Linked DNA regions of Lepisosteus oculatus. The protein of the gene in region 2 purifies or fractionates together with the protein of the main gene of each other region. This does not show direct contact. Links are inferred from orthologs where the notes say so. Each region holds a gene or a part of one and is shown on either strand. Other genes may lie near its edges.

Region 1 (7,147 bases), on a different chromosome or scaffold from region 2:
ATTTTGCTCTGGTAATCCTACATACAAAAGAGAACTATAAACAAGAAGCCTGTTCTCCCCATTCTTGCAACACCTGCATTCCTTTGGATTTACATATGAGGAAATAAAATAACACAAATATTACCTTCACATATTTGTCCAGATTTTTCACAGAGGACCCTTCTGGCACTGGGATGTGTAGGTCTATCTTAACACTGCACTGTAGGACGGACCATGAGGATGAGAGTCCTGGCTGGTACTTCCAGTCTGCTGGCTTAGCAGAGCTCTTCAGGGCATCATTAAGAAGTGACAAGTAAAGATATAACGACGACAAAGATTCTTAATAAGCATTCATTCTTCAATGGAATAACTGCACAGAAGGTTGTAAAAGCTGTTTTCTTCACTGCTTTTGTATAAAAGGATGCAGAATTAAGCCAGGAGTTAATGGAAAAGGTTAAACATGGTAACATATTTGAGGATAAGAGCTAAGGATAGCATTAAAATCACGTCTAGTGACAGGGTAAATTAGGTTTGGAACTATGGTAGGAACACATTTTACACTCCAATTAACTGATTAGGTTTAGGGTCATCATGAGGTCTAAGGTTAGGTTAGGTCTAGTAGATGTTTTAGGTAGTACTTGTTTTATGTAGGGTATGGTTAAGGTTGCATTTCTCAAAGCAATATTTAAATTCTCTTTAATATCACCTTGGGGTCTTGCACATCGAAAGTCCGACATGTCACTCTTGGTTCACCAAGTCAAGGAAAATTATGAAGCTTTAGGTGACATTAATATCAGGACAAATGTCAGAGCTACTGAAAATAATGTGTCTGCTTCATATAAACATCTGTAATAGATACATTAACCTTACATCATGGTTTTGCAGACAGAAACTTACAACAGAAACACATTAGGAAGTCCCGCACCTCCAAGTACACAAGTGCAAATACGTTAGATGGTTACAAGTAACATAAGTTGACATGGCAAACTACATCATAATCACTGCTTTGTATTTTTTATGATTGCATTAATATTTAAGAATTAGCCTAAAATGTGAGGTCGGATTCAGATTCACCTTCCTACATCAAGGTTTTTGATTAATGATACTGCTCCTATGTACAGGAGAATGTCTGCATTGTCAACCTCACACACTGTTCTAAAGGATACTTCCTCGTCTTCGAGCAGATGTGAAGAGTCACTCTTTCTGAGACATCATCCTCTGATAGCTTCCAAAGCCTTCCCTTCACTACCGACTTCTCCACTCCAAATACCAACTAAGGAAGAAAAAAAAAAGCTCATATGCCTAAATGATTTTCTCACAGGTACAATTGTTAATACACGATTTTCTCCTTTCTGTCCAATTCAGAATGACCTTTTTTTTTTATTGGAGCCACTTCGGATTAATTTGAACTTTTTAGCCATATGTAACCGGTATATGTACTGGTACAATGGAATTCTTACTTACAGAATAGCTCATTGTTTTAGACTTGGCCAGTTTCCCCTCTAATTATGCACACAATGAGCAAAGTGAATTGTCTGAGCAACCGGGAATACTGAACATGATAATCTTGGGGAAACACAAAACTTTTAGAATCACTTGCAACGTTTTCTATTCCATTTGCAATGTAACAACATTTGTTCTTCCACTTTACATACTGTGGCTTGGAACTATTAAATTCAACGAATGAAGTAACGCTTGCTTGGAACATACATCTATCGCGTATTGGGCTTGGAGAACAACGTATTACTTTACTGTCATACATTTAGACCGAATGACCCAACAGCAGAGTATCACTGAATTCTGAAACAGAAACAGAAAAATAATAACTGAAATTAAGATAAATCAATTATGAATCTAAATGTAAAATCGATAGTTTTTCTCTCTCCAAAATGTGTTGTATGAGAAGTGGAGTTAGTCAAGGTTACATACAGTATGGATCTGGGCCATAACGCTCAATGTGTGTTTCAGTCATGGGCCTGACTCAGGGGCTGAGTCACTCACCCTCCGCAGTGTATTCTGCGACTCCTTGGACAGTTCAGGCGAGGCGATCAGAAACACGCCAAGGACCTCCAGCCCCCCAGGCAACATTCGAGAAACCTGTTCAGCACCACGGGACATTAAAACAAAGAGATCAACTGGGGGGGGAGTTCTCAAATTTCCTTAAAAAGATTTTCATAAACAGTATACGTTGACTAAAGGAAACAATTCTATTTTATTAAGCTCCGTATCTGTGTATATTTATTATTCCACTGTTGACCCGTTTTAACATTGACTTTGACATCTGTTGTCATATAGGCAGTAGAAATGCTATTGCTTCTTACAATCATTCGTTGCGCCTTTAACGCCTTTAAGTCTATTTGTTGCAATACCAGATATATACTTCAGTTCCACCTGCTTTCATTATGATGTGAATTTTTCTTGGCAAAGTCATTAAATCACACACCTGCCGAGCATGCCCAATGACCCAGTCTTCATCAATGTCCACTAGTGATACTTTACTCTGTTTGGGCTGGTTAAATTGCTCTTCTCTCTGGGCCGTTTGAACTGCAAGCACTACAAAGTCCCTCTGTGGAGAACACTAAACGCAAAGAAAAATAAAGTATTAGTAAAGCATCAACTAATAGTTTTATTTTGAATGTACTGAGCTTATTGTTTATGGAGTGCACTGTCACACTAAACATATCTAGTTCTCTTTTAAAGATGATAAGTTTACATTACACAAAAATCTCTACATTTATTGGATTTACTTTGGAGATGTCTAATGGTAAAACTATTTTAGTTTTATGCTTCGCTTCTTAAAAAAGCCCACTCATACGAAGGAACCTCACCTGCCCAATTAAGAGACCGGTTGTGAAGGCTTTTTCTGCAGTGACAAGGTTCAGAATGTACTTTTCTACCACGTCCTCCACAAAGTAACTTCTCCCCATCCTGAGAGATTTATCATTACTTGTCTTCTAAGGGGGAAAAGCAAAAATGACATATCAGTAAAATGGTACTTCACTTAGATTGATTCAGCAAACTGTGACACTATTATAAGTCGCTCTGGACAAAAGCGCTAGCTGAAACAGATGGGTATTATGCGAATCCCAAGAAGCACAGTGTATTTACGAACAGACTGCTGAATCCTTACTTATCGATCATGTGCGGGTTACAGCAGCTGATTCAGAGCAGCGCAGGAGTTACACGTCATCTCTTTGGTCAAGTACTTCTTAAAGAATCCGGGACTTTAATCCTTGTAGTATTATACATTTCCCTTCAAATTAAGCTGGATTGTTTAATGCAAAATGTAAATATTATAAGGAATTCTGTACAACAGATCGCAAATATCCTACACACAAAGATCTTATTTTGTGAGAAGGCACACGCTTTATTCTCCAATTTCAACACGCACACACCCAATCATAACATACGGGTGTAAATAAACAGCCCGAATATTGCTTTTCTCAAAACCCGTAACTTAAAATTTAGCTACTTTTAAATTTGAAACGTGTACTGCGATCATTATACTCCTTCTGTAGCTAAAGAGTAAAAATAGAAGGCACTGCAAATCATGCCCATGTAATATGCATACATAAATTTCTAACTTTCCAACATTCAATTGCCTGTCCACGACTGTCTCAACTATATGTTAACATCAGAAACTCATACCTGCACGCTTCACTTCTGCTTGGTAAGACCACCCAAAACAGCTTTTTTTTTTTCCTAGGAATGAACGTCACAAAGCCAGCAACCGCTGGTTGGCCATTTTGCGTTGCTTGATTATGACGTCCTTCTTCGGAGGACTTAACTAAAATGCTACACTCTTATTAAACTATGCGCTAGCTGCACAGGAAAAAAAAGTATAAATATTTAAGATGAATTAAATGAAAATGCTGTGGATAAACGTAAAAAGCCCAAGACGTCTGGAGGTTCATCGTTATGCATGCACATCTTCCTCTAAAAAACACATTTATATATTTTTCTCTTTAAATTGTAACTACTTATGACCTTTAATATGTCGTGAAAAAAGAAACGTATCTTCTGTCAGACATTACAAGGAGAAGAATAATTGCAACTACACTTTTCTTTACCTAGGTGGCGATGCAATTTACTTACGGAAATGACGACAAGCCCCGGCCTACCTAGGACTTTTTATATATATCTATGTGAGAGAGTGGGGAGATAGGCGGTATTTTCCAAGAGCTTTCGCCCGAATTGAGACTTGAGGGGGTTAAAGATGGCGGCGATTCTGCAGCAGATGCTGGAACGGCCTGAGCTGGCCAAGCTCTCCAAAGCCGTCCAAAACAAGCTCGAGAAGTTCTTGTCAGACCAGCAATCTGAAATAGATGCCCTCAAATCCCACCACGAGCGATTTAAAGTAGACAGTGGTAAGATGTTTGGGAAACGTTCATGTTTAATCTTTCGTCATGCCTGCTCTGGAGACGCAGGGAGATCTCGCGTTTCATTCCGATCGCAGACTTTGGATTTTGAGAGCATATGATTATAAGTGCGCAGTTGTGAACATCGCTTTCCTTAATGTTTGAACTGACTTTGGTATAGGGCCCATTTCTCCAGCTGCGTGTTTATTCATATATTTTAATATGGCTGCCGAGAGGAGGCAAACAACAGGCCTTTGGCACCTGGCTTTTCAGACCTCAAAAAAGGATGTTGTCTGATTCCTTTTGGAAGGTTGAGTTTTCCATTTCTGTCTTTTTTTTGTTGATTTACAAACTGTGAATTTGGAGGAAATCCCCCATCTGTAGTATTTGATCTTCATACTTTGAATATTGAATTACGAGTTTGTTACGTCTGTAAACTGCAATGTTAACCCCATCTGAGCAACTGATCTTGAACGTGAATTTGTCCCGTTTCAGGCTGTAGTGGTTAATTTGTAATTTAAAGAATGGGGACGATTATCTACCTGGTATAAATCATTGATTTGTCAGACTTTTTATGCAAATATAAATAACCTATGTTTAACGACATACCTGTACCCTAAACTTTTGCAAAACTGTTTGTCAGGTTAAGTTACAGGATTGTCTTGTAATATAAGCAGTTATTGAATGATTTTGCACAGATTTAGGAGTTAAACAGTGCTTAATCATTCATTAATATTAAAAGCTTTTCTTACAGCAGTGCAACCAAGATTGATGCAGGCTATTCTCTAATCTTTACAGAGCAGCAGTACTTTGAAGTGGAGAAGCGACTGGCTCAGAGCCAGGAGAAACTCGTATCAGAGACTCAGGAACGCCAAAATCTCCAGGAGGAGTTCACCAAGCTCAGTAAGTACACGGATTGCAATCACTTTATAGTAAATGTGACAGTACTATAGTTTTCACCCAGATACGAATGTAGTCCATGCCTTTGAGCATGCTGTTGTAAATGGTAGGCTACTGTCAAAAATGTTTGGAAGCTAACTCTAAGGATCTTTGTTCATGCTTGTTCCTGCACAGGGTGTATAGTTTGTGATTCAGGCCATGTGGTAAATTATCTTTTTGAAGAATCCTCTTTTTTTTTGGATGAATCTTTGGCTACTGCTCGAAGCTTGCCATGTAAAGACTCATTCACATTACAAGTAGGGCTCTAAACTAATTTTTCTGCGTTCAATTTCTAGGTGCAGAGCTGAAGACCCTGCAAGAGCAAAAGAGAGAATATGAGTCCTCAGAAGAGAGATTTTCTGCACAGCAGGTGAACATCAAAATACATTTTGGATACAGACATTTTAGTTACTTGTTCTGAAATGCCTTTTCTTTGGATTTTGTATGTCATTTCATCTGAAACTTAAAAGGGGCACATTTTGCTTGTGAGCAGGCATCACAGAACCACCGTCTTCTGTTTAATTTCAGGCTCACCTCACCAAAGTCAAAGATGAACTGGAGGCTGAAAAACGAGAGTTGGTCCGAACACTGGAGAAAAGGTCCCAGGAAGTGGAGCATCTAAGTGGTATGAAAATCTGGGTTGTGCCACAAAGCCTCTGACCTTGAAGGAATCTTTTAAGACAGCCTAATTTGCATAGCTGCTGTCGTTATGATGAATTGTGTTATACAGTTTAGATGGGGTTTTTCTTGACACTGTTGCTTGAAATCTTAAGACTCAGAAGTCTAGTTTTTGTTTGGCAACTTGTATTAAGGGAATCTGGTTGTCTTGGAGTTTCAGAATAAAGGTGAGTTGTTTTGAGAGTAAAAGGCCACAAGAGGGGCTGAGTGAGATGTACTGGAGTCTTTTCACGTTGTGAAATTTTAAATATTTGTGCTCCTCAGCAAAGCTCTCAAAAAAAGGGCAGTGCAACATATTCTACAAATTGGAGTCCTTCGGTGTTAAGTTCAGATCTACCGTCGTTTTTCTTTTTATGCAACAGATACTTAAAAATGTCATCTTTCTTTAACAGAGGACCTTAAACGTCTCAATGACAAGCTTGTGGAGACGAATACTGCAAAGATGGAGTTCCAGTTAAAGCTTGATGAGCTTCAGTCTTCGGAGGTTTCAATCAAGGTGAGGTTAATACAGCTTTAGGAGTCTGTCAGTGAAACTTGTAACATTGAGATTAAACCAAAAGTTGAAGTGGTTGCCTGGAAACTGTAAATTTGGAAAACTGTATTTATCTGCCAGAGGCTGTTGTGAATCTGTGGAGTCACAACCACTAAGAAAACTGCATCTTTGGAATATTACAGGTTGGTCATGTTCTAAATAGAATCTAAGTAGGACAACAACACAAAGTTGTTTTCTGTTTTTGTTTTAGTACCGGGAAAAGAGGATGGAGCAGGAGAAAGAGCTCCTACAGAGTCAGAACTCTTGGCTGAACACAGAGCTGAAGGCCAAGACTGACGAGCTGCTCTCTGTCTCCCGAGAGAAAGGCAATGAAGTTCTGGAGCTCAAATGCAACCTGGAGAATAAAAAGGAGGAGGTTTGTTTTATATGCTTTATTAGGCAGATTATATGTTGTGGTCTGGTCCTGCAAGGGTTAAGAAACAATACTCTTGCACTTCAGGTTTCTGTTATAAACACCTGAAACTGTAAACACATATTTAAACAAAAATAATACTTGATTTGGTCCAGCTTTGGCTGGTGTGAAAAATCCACTCTTTTGATTAGGTGCAGCTACTTCTCAAGTGCATTCTTCATTCATTGAGAAGGTTTATAGTTATGCATCCCAAAATTGTGTTAATACTATACTAAAGTGCAGTTTGGC
Region 2 (7,814 bases):
TGCCTGTTTACAGTATAGTGTCCCCATCACTATACTGGGGCATTAGGACCCACATGGACCGCAGGGTGAGCGACCCCTGCTGGCACCACTAACACCTCTTCCAGCAGCAACCTTAGTTTCACAAAGTGTTGTGGGAAGTCTGGATACAGTTCTTCTATCCACAGCCTAGTTCTTATTCCAAATACACACATTTTCTTGAATGCCTGTTACTTATAATTTCAGAATCTATATCAGAACACTTCTGAACATATTTAATATTGGGATGGAATATCTTCAAGGGACATCTGATTGCTGCTTCAGGGGGTGGGGGTCAGTAGGTGGCACACTTTCCTCTAGACCGGTATGGGGACACTACGCAATGCTGTAAGGTACTGTGGACATTAAACTGATGTCTTGACTAGTCATTGAAGAATCCGTGGCAGAGCTTGTCAGAAAAGGAGTGTAAACCCTTCTGTCTTGGCACCCTGAACTTGCACAGACAGCCTCCCTAAAGTTCCCCTGTAACTCAAATGGTGAATCACTTTCTCTCTTCTTCAAATGATCTGTGTGGTGGAACTGCCGTCTGTCAAGTAGGTGGGAGATGCACTTTGGTGCTGGATTTAGGGACCCCTCCTATGTTTGAAATATGCTATACAGTATATGAAAAGGGCTTGTGTGATGACCCATCTTTTCTTAATCTACACTGCTTAATAGCTAGAATCCTATTGCTGTATAGATCACCTAGTTCAGTTTTAGTTTCCATACCCATACATATAACAGAAGTATGACTTATTGGTCTATAATTATTCAGCTCAGTTTAGTCACCTTCTTAGGGATGACAGGATGGGCCTTGTGAGCAATTTTCCAGTCAGTGGGTATTGCCCCTTTCCTCTGTGGCTGTTGGAAGAGTTACCAGCCCGTGAGTCACATCTCTCATTTCAGAAGTACAATTTATCGAATACATTCAGGCCCCAGAGATTTTAAGTACTGCTTACACTCTCTTCTTGTGAATAACATGCAACTTCCTTTGCTCAGCCTGAGGCATGAGGTCAAATTCTTCCTCACTGAATACCTGAGTGAGACATTTGTTTAATTCGATGAGTCATTTCCCTTCAGTGTCTAATTGGTGTCCATTTCACCTTGTGAGGAACTTTCCTTTTTCCTTGACTGTTCTTGTGCTGTTAAAATACAGTGAATGACCGTTTTAATTTATGAACCTCCTCTTGGTTATATTTGTATTGAGATGTGATTCGAAAGGAATCCGATCGCATGACTTGTGTGAGCTCAGACGTGTCTGAAACTCGGTTCCAATGGGGATCTGCTCTTCCCGTGCTGAGCAAGCGCTCCTCGACGACTCAGCGGGTGGCTTTCTTTAGTGTCTCCGGGTGTTGTAGCGCCCCCAACTGGCAGTTCTGTCATTCAGCCTTTGGGAGGAGCCAGTCGCCTGTTTTCAATGCTAGCTTTATCGTCCCATTTGGGAAAAATATCGAAGATATTAATTATACATGAAGCCTACTTCAACCCCTCGCCAAATATTCCGACTCTAGTCCTGAAAGTTGTGTATTGGTATGGAAACACGTTCCTTTCAATTTATATCATTTGGAACATTTCCAGTGAGTAGAGTATTTCCACCAAGAATTACTTTATAAAGCACGAATTCCCTAATACATAATGTTTTAGATTGATTTAATTTATGCTGAAATGAAATTAAAGTTTATTTATATGTAAAAATAACAGCCGTGAAATGTAGTTCGATGCTATTGCAGTCAATTACACCATCTGGATTTACACCGAATGATTTACGTAAATAGGTGTCTTACTTTTTTCCTCATTATTTTCTCGATGGGGGGGTCTATTTTTAGTTCTATTCAATTATTTTAATCACAAACCACCCCTCTGTTGATTGGTATCTTATTCTGCACCTACAGAATTACTTTTCTTAACGCTCTTTAATCTTTCTTTGCATCTCGAAATGCGTAAGGTAAACAAAATTGGACTGCAAAAATGCAAAACGCACTCAGCACTTTTCCCCTCTTTGATTTGTCTAGTAATCCCTTTACCGAAGGCTGCTACGATAAAAATATGTGAAACACAGCCGAAAATCAAATACACCCAGCACTGCTGTGGCGTGTGGCTAGGATGTTTGGTAATAAGGGACTGCGAACTATGCATATGTCCATTTCTGCTTTACTCGATACTTCGTGTAGCTTATTCCTAGGTATTACCCTTCCCGATCTCATTCCTCTGGCAATGCTGGAGTCGCCAAATGAATCTAATTGAAAAAAATCTTAATCAGTCTGAATCCTCTTAAGAACACGGAGCTGACAAATCAATTCATTAAACAGTCTGCAACTGTGTGCTGGAGCCTGCATAGCTGGCAGACAGCAGATGTGTCTCTTCAGACGATATGGAGATCCTGTTGCTGTGTATCGGTCCCAAAGACGAGCTGAGCTGGGTTGGGTGTTACTCCTCCTCTAAACAGAGAGCAAAAAGGCCGCTAAAGCATGTCTGGACACTTCTTGCGCAATGTGACATCCTGAAATAGGTTTTGCTCGTAGGAGTCGTGTTCTATTTTGAGTTGGAAGAATAAAGGGTTGCGTCTGGGTTATTTTGTTTTGTTTTTAAGCTAGGACAATAGCCTTGTTCAGTAAAGTGCCCACAAAGAGTGACATACTGTATTAACCTTTTCTACTAAACAGTGGTACACGCTTATAAACATTCTTACATTCATGCAGCCATTCAGTGTATCGTTTACCATCGCGTTCACCATCACATTTCAAGATAAACTTATGCAAGTTTACAGAATAAATATTTTGTGGAGGAAAAGTTGAAAAGCAGCATTTCAGTGTAGCCTAAATATTTATTTTCTGAAGAAATGTTCTCAAAACTGCCATTACAGAAGTTTAAAAAGATTCCCTCTCCCCCCTCCCCCCATCCATTATTAGCCAAATGGAAATGTCAAAATGGATTGGTACCTTCCTAAAGGGGGAATGACAAGTGCACAACAAGACAATTTTGGACATGTTAGTGTTAACTGTAGTGTTAATGCGTGCGCAGCTATAGGCTTAGGAGCTGCGAAGGAACGAGTCCGTGCTGAAAAGGTAAAAAAAAAAGCACAGAACTCACGAAGCGTCACAGGAAGACTCCACACCTGGAACATTGTGTTTTTCTTCTCTATTTTCACTTTACAGAGCTTTAATGAATCCTGTTTGTATTTGTGTGTGTGTGTTATTTATTAGATTGTCTTCGTTAGCCTCTACATGCAACGTTGTGCCTGCCTAGTTGTAGAGCTGGCTTCGTCTACAGAAGTTTCACATTACTTCTTTCTACCCACCCTTTTCATACAATGACTAAACCCCATGTGTGTGTCAGAGGACAACATGACAGCGTGGTGCATGGGCTTCATGCAGTTTGCCAGCGCAAATGTGTTTCTTAGAAATAACTCTGCATACCGTTCGTGCCTATTGTGACAATAGGAACACTTGAATCTCATGCTTTTCAGCACTGAAGTAAACAGAAAACTACACCTTCGGATGAGACATAAAACCAATGTCCTGACTCTCTGTGGTCATTAAAAATCCCAGGGCGTTCCTCGAAAAGACTAGGGGTGTACCCCGGCATCCTGGCCACATTTCCCATTGGCCCTTACCAATCATGGCCTCCTAATAACATCTATGAATTGGCTTCATCACTCTGCTCTCCTCCCCACTGATAGCTGATGTGTGGTGAGCGTTCTGGCACACTATGGCTGCCGTCATATCATCCAGGTGGATGCTGCACATTGGTGGTGGTGGAGGGGAGTCCCCATTACCTGTAAAGCTCTTTGAGTGGAGTGTCCTGAAAAGTGCTATATAAGTGTAAGCAATTATTATTATTATTATTATTATTATTATTATTATTATTATTATTATTATTATTATTATTATTTATTACACATTAAAGCACTGTGGCCAAAAGACAGCACTTCAGGGGCAATCGTGTAACTTGTGTGCGTGCTGACTTGCCACGAGCAATGATTTGAAGGCTACAGCTGTCCTGAAAGGGGTCTAGCAAATTGTAACAGAAGGCCGCTGTGAATCTCTACAGTAGGACCCAATGTCTACTGTATTCTGAATCAGACACCCACCTCTGTCCTTAAACCAAGAACAGGATTTTCTTCTTTCTCCCAGCGCTTCTGGATCTTTTTTAACATTTGTTGATCACCGAATAGTAACCTAATTATAAGACGAAGTAATTTAGATTTTGACCATGAAGTCTGGATGTAGTCTACATGCCGTACAAATTGTAAAAAGCTTCCTGGGACATTCCCTAAGTCGGTTATTGCTTGATATGAAAGGTGCAGAATACGGTTTCTTGAATTTATCACCATTTGGTGCGAACCCTCGAAAAGAAGTTAAACAATTTGAGCTGGAAAAAAATAATAAACCGTATTTGTATTGTGAATTATTTTTTATTCATATGTTTTAAACAGTTCATCACTATCGGGGAAAGAGTCCTACTGGTCCAAAAAACTCATTACACTTTCTCATTAAATACTTTTATTAGTTAATTAATCTTAAAACTTATCACTAAAGACTTAAATAATTTAATTTTGGGATAAGGTTTCTGGGTCTTTATTATTACTGTCACTATTACTCATTTTGTAAGTATAATGTAAGAAATTACTTTTTTTCACTGAGCCCCTCAACGACACTAGAGGAGCGAAAATGGATGGGTAGTAGTTCGTGTTTCAACTACTAGGTGGCGCTCTGATGTCTGCAGGCCTAGCGGACTCCTCGGTGTACCCTCTTTACCACAACTGACGAGGCATCCTACACGCTCTCCGATTTCACCGATCGGCCAGCCCGCCGGTAAAATATTCAGACAGCAGCTTTTTTCGAGATATTCCGTGTTGTTGTGACCATAGAGGACGAAAAGTAAAGGTGGTTCTATAAATCCATGCTTTCTTAAGTTCAGAAGGAAGACCTGGTCTTGAGGGTAAACCGTTCTTGAGTTAGAAATCGACTACTTCTGGACTCGACAGAAGCCCCCTGGCCGAGCGGGAAGAAGGAGTGGGAAGTCGCTCTGTCCACTACTGACTATTCCGATATAAATGCTGCAGCGATGGAGTGGTAAGATGTTGCATATTCTCTTCTTCCCGACCTAGTTGTGGCACGTTTTTAATGGTTATTATACCCGTGTTCTGCACTGTACCGTAGCAGTGTGGAGACATGTGGCATGCCAGTTTTGGAGGGTAGGCCGCGGGGTACAACACTAGTGAAACACATCTCACCTGTTACAGTGAGCTGTGGGACGGGTACCCGACGTTGATTTGTGAACATTTGTGATGTACATGGGTGGAAATGGATTCGATACTCGACCCTCCAGGCGCCCGTAATATAAACACATTGAACTGAACGGTTATTTTTTCATTTTGAGATCGATATATTGGACTCTTTATTTAAGGATGTAGGCAGAGTTAATTCAAAGAATGAACATTATATAAGGTATTTAGCAATTCCACTATATAATGCGTTTAACGGCACATCAGCTTTGTACTTTGCTGTTGGAAAGTAGCATACCGAGAACGCCTGGACAAAATATGTCTAGGGAGCTCAGGGTTACTACTGTCAATGTACAGTATGTGGGGTTATGGAAACGACAGTTGAAAGCAGAGGATCCTCCATATGGCAGAAAAAGGTTAGGGAATAGTCGGCATGGATTGGAAAAGGGTAGTTCTCGCTTAACAAACACACTTGCTAGAGTTCTCCAAACACGCAAGAGCACCAGCGGCAGATTAACGCGATAAAGTTAATTCTAAAAGGTTAATTCTAACATTGTAGGTGATAAGTATTCAAATAAATGTTTGTTTTATTATTAGGAGTTGAAATTTAAAGGGTAGTGAATAAAAACATGGGTAAGGGATGAATGCTCTAGCTGGGGTGATGTTATTAGTGGTGTGCCATAGGGACATGGGACCTGTGCTCTACCAGATTTCTATCAGTGATCTAGATTCTGGCGTGGAGAACAATCGAGTTCATATGATGCTACCAGTTTATGAGGATGAACAAACACTATGAAAGCAGCCAAGTAAATTCAAGATTTAGAATTCCAGACTGGGCAAACACCTCACCTGCCAGATGACATTTAATCTAGACAGAGCGTTACGTGCAGATTGTAGAAACTAGCACGAAGTACAAAATGGGAAACACAAATTTAGAAATAATTGGGTGCTTATGGTAGCATCTTTTTATTTCTTTATAATGTGTGAAAACAATACAAAAATCAAATAGGTTATATAGTTAAATAAGACAAATAAGAGCTCATTTTAGAACAGCACTCAGTTTTTGTTCAGAAAATAGCTATATTCTGGGAGTACAGTCCTGGTATTAATGTCCTCTTCTGACATGCTAAACAAACAAAATCTTTTTAGTCTTGAACAGAAAAGATTACGACGGGACCTGATTGAGATATTCCGAATCCCCAGAGGTACAGCCACAGTCAGCCTTGTGGGCCTCTTCAGAATAAGTCCTGAAATGAATCAATGGGCACAACGTAAGGGGAGAACAGGAGACACTTCTGTACGCCGAGGGTTGTGGGAGCCTGGAACATACTGCAAAGCTGATCCCTGCTGTGGCTTCTGCCCAGACAGCAGGATGATCCTCTGATCAGTTAGTTACTAGCTACCAGATGGGCTGGATGGGCTCAATGACCTTCCCTTGTTGGCCGGCTTAAGGTCCTTACGTCATTTATCACACCCTTCCCTTGTCCCCAGCGAAGACCCTCCTCCTCGAGCTGCGGTGTCAGCAGAAAACTAGCAATAACCTGCTCTTAATGGCGGGAGATGCAGTTCTGTTCGTGTCTACAGTTACCCACAGCAAGATAAAACACCATAGCTCTTTTTCTTTAAAAAGACACCTGTCACCATGCGGTTGGAAATGGACATGTTGCCTAAGGGGATCTGCCGCCAGGGGTCAGGAAGAGCACTCAGTCCTGGTTATGCAATATTTCATGTCCGTTTTTAAAGACGCCTTTGTGTTTTTGTTTTTGGTTTTTATGGGGGGGCTGACATTTCTGTCTGTCTCAGGGGCAGCAATGACCTGATGTCGCCGGTGGTCCGGGAGTTGGAGGTGACGCGCGCGGCCCGCCGGAGGAGCCTGAAGAAGAAGGTGGCCTGTATCCTTTCCCTGTGTCCCCCGGCCCCCTGTCCCGCAGCTGGCGGGAAACGCGTGGCGTGGGCCCGGGGAGACAGCCAATAAACACCCTGATGCTGCCTTTTCCTGCTGGACCCTAGAGTGGAGGATACAGGCAGAGTCAGCAGTGTGCTGTCTCCAGCTTGTTTTGTGACGTTCTGCGTGAGAATAAAAAAAGCAATAGATAGCTGTGTGAATCCAAGATAGTCCATGGTCTGCATGATGGGAGAACTTGTTAGTGAGCGGAAAACAGGGTCACGAAGGGAGAGGAAGCATAGTTCGGACCCGTGTGTTCATTCTGCACAAGCGTCCTGCGTCGACTTGTCAGATTTGTTTGTCTGGGACGCCAAAATAGGAGCGGCAGGGAATGATGTCAAATCAGTAAGGGGGTACCAAAGGACTTAGACCAGGGGTGCCCAACCTCTTTTAATGTAAGATCTACTTTTTCGTTTGCCAGTCCAGTGCGATCTACCGGTGTGAATTTGAAGCTCTGATATAGGAAAAACAGACTGTGGGCACATCAGTACAATAACGATACCCATCGCTAAAATGACAGCCAACAAAAGCAAGTCACTCACGCTACAGTGAACAAGTAATGTTCCCCATTTTTTGGGGAAAAAAAATCTCCAAACTTAATGAGAGCATTGGCGCTGAGAAGCTTTC
Region 3 (7,514 bases), about 31 Mb from region 2:
GTTCCTCCAATTTTGACTAATCCTTACTATTTGAAGTCTGCAAAAAGAGAGTCAGCCCCTTTCAATGCAGCTGCCTTTTCTAGTTAGTTTTAAGAAGTGACCAAAAGAAGACCTGTCTGAGATCAAAGAGATTAAAATCATATCCAAGATGCAGGACATTTGAAATCAGAGAGGACCCGAATGCTGTTTGATAGAAAGCTAAGCAAATTCAGTAAAAAAGTATTAATTAGGCTAAAGCATTTTCACATACAGTATCTCAGTAGATCATTTATAAGACTGTCCATACCGCAAGGATGTATGGTATGGTATGGTATTGCTGACAAAACCTCTGAATTCTGCTCTGTTAACCCACATTTTTGAGAGAACAGGTAACCAGTAAACGCCCACCCGAGCCTATTGCCAGAGACAATGTCCTCTTTTTGCCTCCTACCAAGAAAAGAGACGTTTGTTTGTCGCGTGCTGCATGCTTCAGATCGGTGAAGGCAGCTCTTCCAAGGCCTCTGTCAGGAATGTTTAGCACATGGGCCACAGCCAGATCGTTCTTGGAGTTCAGCAGCAAGTTTAAGTATGCACAGATTAGCCTCTTCATCACTTTCAGCAACTGCATTGGAAAGAAATGCAAAACAAACGTTAAGTTCAGCCTGCACAAAACGGATAGAACATCTGTTTTCAAAAACAATAACGCAGCAGCTGTTTTAGGAATAAGGCCGAAGAGAGAGTAAAACCGTTCAAATGACACTTAGAGATAGGAAAAATGTTTTTCCAGTTATCAAATAAAAAAAGGCACCTTGAAGACTATAGCTGGTGAAGGCCACCCCACCCAATTTAAAACAATCTAAAATAACATTGTTCATTGCCAACCTCTACTGTTAACCAAGCAGCCAATACTTTACAGTTCAAAGACCCTGCACATTTCTTTCAATAAGCCCATCTACATATTCACAGTGCATTTAGAAAATTGTTCGTTTTAAAATCAAGAATGAAAGAGCACACTGTAGCCACAAATTGTTTGCAATGCATCCTAGATGTCTGAAAACGTACTCATAAATCACCAAGCAACCAATACCTCCCCCCATCATATCAGAGAACACAGAACACACACACATCAAAAGCTACTAACAAACTTAAGCAAAGGCTGTCCCATCCATTGCTTGTAACTTCTAATTAAGATCATAAGAGCTTAAGAATTACTCCACGGACACGGATATTCTTGCTGTAATCATATGTCATTTTATAAATCCTGCTAAACTAGATCCATTTGCTCTCATCAGTCAGGGCAATAGGATTTAACTTTCTCGTTACTGAGGGAGCTTCCACTGAAAACACTGGACAGGAAGAGCAGAACACGACGGAAAAAAGTCCTCTGAAGACCTATGTTCTTGTCAGTTTTACGGTTTCACAGTCGAGAACACTGTGTTCTTTGGCTAACCAAAGTTCAAATCTATTACGTCAAACAAGGCAGATAAGACTAAGGCACAAGTACTCCATGTATTGTACAGAACCACGATATCAGATGCTTGCTGAGCAAATCGTTAATATGTATCCAATTCCTTGACGCGTGGATCCTATAGCAGGTGTCCAATATCATTTTTGAAAACTTAGAAAAACATTACGCTTGGATCTCAATTTTATTGATTCAAACACTATGAAAAGCAGGCACGTTTGTTGCTGATGACCACAGGATTTGAATTTAAAATGTCAACTATCTATCGTGTCATCTACATACAATAATCACAATAAAATATTACGAACAACGGAAAAAGAAGAGTGGCTGTCTTCTGGAGTCAAAACAGCACTAAGTGTACCTGGGAACTTGTCCATCGGGGCCTGCTGGATGGAGTCGATGGAACTGGAGGGACAAGGTCAATCTGATCGCAGTATTCAGAGTTACCTGACAGAAACTCAAACAGCTGGACCTTTTTCAAAGGAGAGAATAATCACCAACAGCCAAGATTCCCCTAGTACAATCCCACCTGAAAATCTGGATGCCAGTCAAAATTCAGGATCGCAGGGGAGCCACGGCCCATCCCAGCAAGTAACAGGCGCATGGCAGGATACACCTTGGATGGGACGTCAGTCTATTGTAGGGCCTCACAGACATGCCTACTTAATGCAACAAGCCAATCAACCTACCAGTACATCTCAGGACTGTGGGAGGAAACCCATGCAAATGAGAGAACATACAAACTCCACACAAATAGCACCCCAGATCAAAAACTGAAGTCAGCTCCCCAATGCTGAGCACTGTGCTACCCTACCATCAATTCACAACATAATCTGAATGTAATTTTTATTAATGACATTTAGAAAATGGACTTTTAGAAATGACATTTCTAAATTCCAAAACATTTAGAGATGAAGAGAAGTCAGCCCTGAACCAGTTTTATTTTACAGAGGTTAAGGAGGTATTCTGGGGGATGAAGGGAGTGATTGTTTTAACACTACATAAGCCATGACTTAAACAGCACCTCAAAAAGTAAAGGAGCCTCAGAGGTCACATTGCACTAAAGCATTGCAGAAGATTTCCTCATTTATATGTAGCAAGCAGGATTCCCAACAGGGGTACTTACAGCTGCAAGGCGATTTTCTGGATCGCTTTCTATTTTTAACTGCTCAGCCATCCCAAAGATGTCAATCAAGTCTACAGTATTCGATCTCTTCAGGAAGGAGTCATAGCTTTTCCGTATGATGTTGTAATTCTCTGGAGCATGTGAACCTTCATGGAATAAGTTCAGTTTATCCTTAAGTAAATAAGCCCAGGTGACAATGACTTCACTCAGTGAAACAGCAAATTCTCCTTTCTCCTAAATGGAAACAAGAAGGGAATAATATGAACCCAGTACTCATGTTCATCTCATGTAATGTATTATCTGGTTCATGTCTTTCATTTCATGCATAGAACTGATTAAGCCCATTTATCTGTCCCCCCCCCCCTATCATAGCAGAATGATGATAACCTTATGAAAATCTTGTCCACATAAAAAAGGGATTTCCTCCTGGATACACAAATGTTTTTCATCAATGTGTTGCAATGCTGTTCCCTCATCCGCACAGAAAGCCAAGCTGACATAAAAATAACTATTAAAGCTGTTAAGTCATGTGCTCCTCATGGAATCCCAGCAGGTACTAATCCAGTTACACATTCCTCAGATATTACAGGGCTCTGTACATCTAGCCAGGGAAAGATTCCTCTGAAGAGCAGGGCCACATTATTTTAGACCACAGAAATTAAAACCGTAACTAGTGCGTCTTCTAACACAAATAGGACTTGACTAAAACTAATAGGTTCGGCAGCGCATAACTACAAGTATGTGCCGTACACACTTTTTCAAGAGGAGAGGATTAAATTTCCTGCAACCTGGTGTCCTCTGCACAAACCAAAAAACAAACTGAGAAAAGATGTCAAAAACACAAAACAAGTATGGGAAAAGAGCACGGCACACTGAATGACTGGGGTACAGAAGGCAAACTCTTAGCACCTAAATCTCCAGTCCTGGTGTTGGTAGGTTTTTGTCCAGATACGTATAGTAGGGTGCATCAGGGGTGAACACTAACATACTTATTTGGATTCATATGGAGACATTCAAGATTTGGATTTGAATTTAGTCTACATTTTATTTTCTCTATGAATGGAAGGTTGACTGCCAGTGTGAGGACAGGCACATGACGTCAGAGCTGATCACAGAGTGGATTAGCACTCAATGAAACTCCTAATGTTCACGGTTAGAGAACTACTTCGTCGTGCAAAACCTCACCTGTTTGTTCACCTCGGCCATGACCAGCTGCAAAGCCGTGAACATGTCGTCTGCATTGCATATCGTTATCCTCTCGGACCCGAGCAGCCGGTAACAGTCTCTCCTGAAGGCTTTCACCAGGACCTTGAGATTTTGTTGAAGAATCGCCATTTTTTCTAGAAACCAAACGGGGGGATACTTGTGAACAATAAGCACATACATGCGACATAAAAGCGATGTTTCTGTTGGTGGTTGGTGGTGATGGCTCCTTTGACTGATCGAAGACGTACAGTTATGAGTTGCCTAACCAGCACTACCTAATCCAACTAGATTGGTTTTAATTGGGGGTCTGTGTACTCGCAATTTTATAAGACAAGTGTTTCAGTTTTCAGCGTCCTCGTGTTTGGAGAGGCGCTTTATAAATAGAAGTTGTTATTATTACTAACAACAACACCAATGCGTTTGAAATACAACGCATTCACACTTCAAACTTCAGAAAAGCAACATCAAAGCCAGTATCAAACAAAACGATCAAACGCTTCAAACCTTACTTAAAGTATAAGGGGAAATAACCTTAAGATACACGTTAAAGGCAGCTTTAACATATTTTTAAGTACCTGCAAGTCCCTGTGTCAACAACCGTGATGCTCTCCCTAGGGAAGCTGTTTCAGAAAATGTAAAAAATTTAAAACTCCTGACAGCAAGACACTGGCCAATGAGAGGGGGCAACCTTTCACCCGGATATGATCCTGGGGAGCCAATCAGATTGCTGGAAGCAGAAAACAGACTCGCGCGGGTTCTCTGTTTCTGCGTTGTGCAAGCTGGTGGTACAACTTGAGTTTAACACGAAAAACCACTGAAATACCACCAACGTGTTGGATTTAGCGACCTTACCCGTGTCATTCCGATATCCTGGTAGGTACGCTGTTAAGCTGTTGTGGAAAAAGTAATCATATGAACGAGTGACTTCACTTCACTTATTTTCAGTGTAGGGCAATATATATTTTTAGTATTGTGAGGACTTTTAAGAAAACAAAAACATACGAAATAAGTTCAAATGAAATGAAATTGATTTGTACTTTTATATTAAGGAAAACACCCGGCGGTTGATGCATGCCAGCATGTTGATTGCAGGGTTTTATCAGAGCACATTCTGTATCGGTGCAGGTATTATCACTCGGGGCAGCACATGTCGAGCACAACTTCATTTGTGTGCGTTGCTGACTGCTGTCGCTGTTTTAGTCCTCTTGTCTCCACCCAGAGCACATTTCGGCTGAGCAGCAACCACGTTGCTCACTGTGCTGTCAAACCATCCCGTGAAGTTTCAACGAATTTTCTTCTTAAGGCTTCGAGCATATGGAGTTCAGTTTGACTGCGCCGGGTTTCGAGTCTTTATCAACCAGTTTCCCTTCGTAAGCTGCATGCAGTAAAGACTGGAAACATATTGCTCCCTTACAAACGTGCTTAGTTTTTTTTCCCCTCTTCAACCAGTAGAACCAGTTCCTTCCAGTCCCCGTGAACTGCTTCAACTCAGTGACATCTGTGGGTTTTCAAGCATAAACTGCCCGTGACACAACATTTAGGTCTGGACTTTGACTAGGTCTGGTGAGTCCGTACTGTAGGTCTTCTGTCCAGCTGGGGTGATATTGACCTGAATCAAATCGCTGCTGGCTTAACTGGACCAGTTTACCAGCTTCTCTCTTCAGTCTTAGGGACTGCAGGCACACTGACAGCCCTTGAGGACCAGGACTGGGGAGCCCTGCAGTGCAATACCCCCGGACCTCTGTGTTTCTCCCCCATACCGTGTTGCTGGAGTCTCAGACAGTGATCCAGGCTGATTTCTGTCTAAATTCCACTGTTTCTTGGTACCCTGGGATCGCTTTGGCTATGCAGGCATTGGCTCCTCAGCACGTCTTATGTAGTTCACACTCCGTCACGTGAAAAAGTAGACTTTCTTGTGGTTTCTTGATCGGAGCCATCCAAGTTATAGTTCCTTCTCCGAGAATCATGGTAACTCACTTTTCATTTGACCCTTTCCCTGTTTTAGGAGAATCCCCTGCTGTAAAAGAAAGGGAATCTGACACCAGACATCGAGAAATTAGAATTTTGTTCTCTTGTCTGCGGGAGCACTTGTACTATTCAGAAACAACTTGAAATGCGAACAAGAGGCACTTCTTTACACAAAGAGTTGTTGGAGTGTAGAACGAGCTACCGAGACATGTTGCTGAAGCCAATACCCTGACTTATTTCAAGAAATCACCAGATTTCTTTCATTCAGACCCCTGAATGGCTAAACATTTAACACCTAGATGGACCAAACTTGTCTTTTGTAACCTTTCCTATTTTCTTACTAAAAGTTATCTGTCGGCTGAATCTGGCATCAGAGGGAGAAATATTAGCTCATGGTTTACGTGATTTTTCTTTTTGATCAATAATCGGTATGATTAACAGGTTCCCCTGTGTGTATATTTAAAGCCATCACATACAATCCAGTTAAAAATAGTTGTCAGATCATAGCAGGATAAAAAATTCCACTCTGCATATCCCCGCTTCCAACATTTTTCCTATATAGAGATCAACTTTCATAACGCACTTAAGTCCATTTAACTTTTCCACAGTTTTTTTTTCTTCAACTCCAACAAAGCAAGAAGTGCCAGAAAATAGAATTCCTGTGTGACAGTCGTGGTCCCATAGGGGGAGAAAGTCCTTTCCCAATTTCCCTACGCTCAGCTGTGCATGTTGATCTCTCTGCCAAGGTGGTCATATGGATCCCAGAATCCACACTCCAGCAGGTTGATAAGTAGAACATAATTCCTCAGATGTGTTTGTAACCGACAAGTCATGGTAAATGTTACAAACTAAGCAAATATGTCATGTCAGTTGCTGGCAGTCACATAAGGAATAATCTAAGCACATTCAAGTGTGTTCATGTTCCCAGATTTGTGTTGTGGTTGTGTGATTTTGCCAGATTAATTATTCTGCTGTGATTGCAGTATTTAAAGCATGCATTATACCACAGAAAATAAGTGCATTAGAAAGGTTTATGTTTTGTACCATGGAGAGAAATTGTAAAGCTGCGCTTTACTCAAAGCATTGTGGGTATCCGAAACAGGCTTCACAGTCAGGTTGTTGTGGCTCAAAGTCAGGTCTCCTCCATCAAGCTGGGAAGAAGCTTGATAAAATTTTAGGTTTACCTAGATACCAAATGAGCAGAATGGTTGGAAAGGCCATATTCTTATGTTCTTCAGAGCATTCTCGGCAGAAAATGTAGAAATAATCAAGTAAAAGTACAGTGCCTTACAAATTCAGATGAAAAGTGTTAAATACAATTTGCATTGAAGATCATCTGGTAGTTGTCATTTGAATTTTTTTATTCAAGTCATGCTCAGATCTACAAATGATTTTTTAGTCTTTGAAAAGAGGTTTCTGTACCTGACTGAGGTGATGTTCTGTTGTTTATGGGCTCAAATGTTTATGACCTATGTCCCCTGTGGTTCTTTCCTGAGGCTTTCAGATAGCATTAGTGGTTTATGGAATGGGGAATATTGGATTAAAAATGAGAATCTAGGCAATTTAAAGCTTTTCAGTACCTTAAAATAAGTGCTTGACCAGAGTGGCGCCCTACACTAACGTGATAGGTCTGGGTAAACGGAGCTTTGATCCTGTTACAGCTGTGTCAGCCTGCTTTTGTACATGTGAATATCGGAGAGAGGAAAAGACGTGCAGAATACCCCCCTGTGTGAAAGTCTTCACTTAATTCTTGGCTGCAGAGACCACATC

What was found. Proteins that work in one complex are often made in the same cells at the same time.
Region 1: the proteins of nup107 (region 2) and nucleoprotein TPR fractionate together in Homo sapiens (co-fractionation; 4 studies listed by BioGRID and IntAct, with this or other methods). This does not show direct contact. The link is inferred for Lepisosteus oculatus from reciprocal best matches to the Homo sapiens genes NUP107 and TPR.
Region 3: the proteins of nup107 (region 2) and nup37 purify together in Homo sapiens (affinity purification with mass spectrometry; 7 studies listed by BioGRID and IntAct, with this or other methods). This does not show direct contact. The link is inferred for Lepisosteus oculatus from reciprocal best matches to the Homo sapiens genes NUP107 and NUP37.

What each region holds. Positions count from the first base shown.
Region 1 is NC_090704.1:8,458,872-8,466,018, forward strand, and holds the start of nucleoprotein TPR, read left to right. Parts: upstream 1-4,128; 5' UTR 4,129-4,195; coding exon 4,196-4,346; intron 4,347-5,135; coding exon 5,136-5,240; intron 5,241-5,572; coding exon 5,573-5,646; intron 5,647-5,804; coding exon 5,805-5,901; intron 5,902-6,346; coding exon 6,347-6,450; intron 6,451-6,697; coding exon 6,698-6,862; intron 6,863-7,147. Other genes in the region: odr4 (protein odr-4 homolog), read right to left, coding at 125-265, 686-722, 1,146-1,252, 1,981-2,076, 2,423-2,557, 2,808-2,906.
Region 2 is NC_090702.1:23,597,631-23,605,444, reverse strand, and holds the start of nup107 (nuclear pore complex protein Nup107), read left to right. Parts: upstream 1-4,802; 5' UTR 4,803-5,082; coding exon 5,083-5,090; intron 5,091-7,045; coding exon 7,046-7,134; intron 7,135-7,814. UniProt on the Homo sapiens protein: Plays a role in the nuclear pore complex (NPC) assembly and/or maintenance. Required for the assembly of peripheral proteins into the NPC. May anchor NUP62 to the NPC. Involved in nephrogenesis.
Region 3 is NC_090702.1:54,841,065-54,848,578, forward strand, and holds the start of nup37 (nucleoporin Nup37), read left to right. Parts: upstream 1-4,495; 5' UTR 4,496-4,649; intron 4,650-7,514. Other genes in the region: parpbp (PCNA-interacting partner), read right to left, coding at 431-601, 1,806-1,916, 2,571-2,804, 3,756-3,905. UniProt on the Homo sapiens protein: Component of the Nup107-160 subcomplex of the nuclear pore complex (NPC). The Nup107-160 subcomplex is required for the assembly of a functional NPC.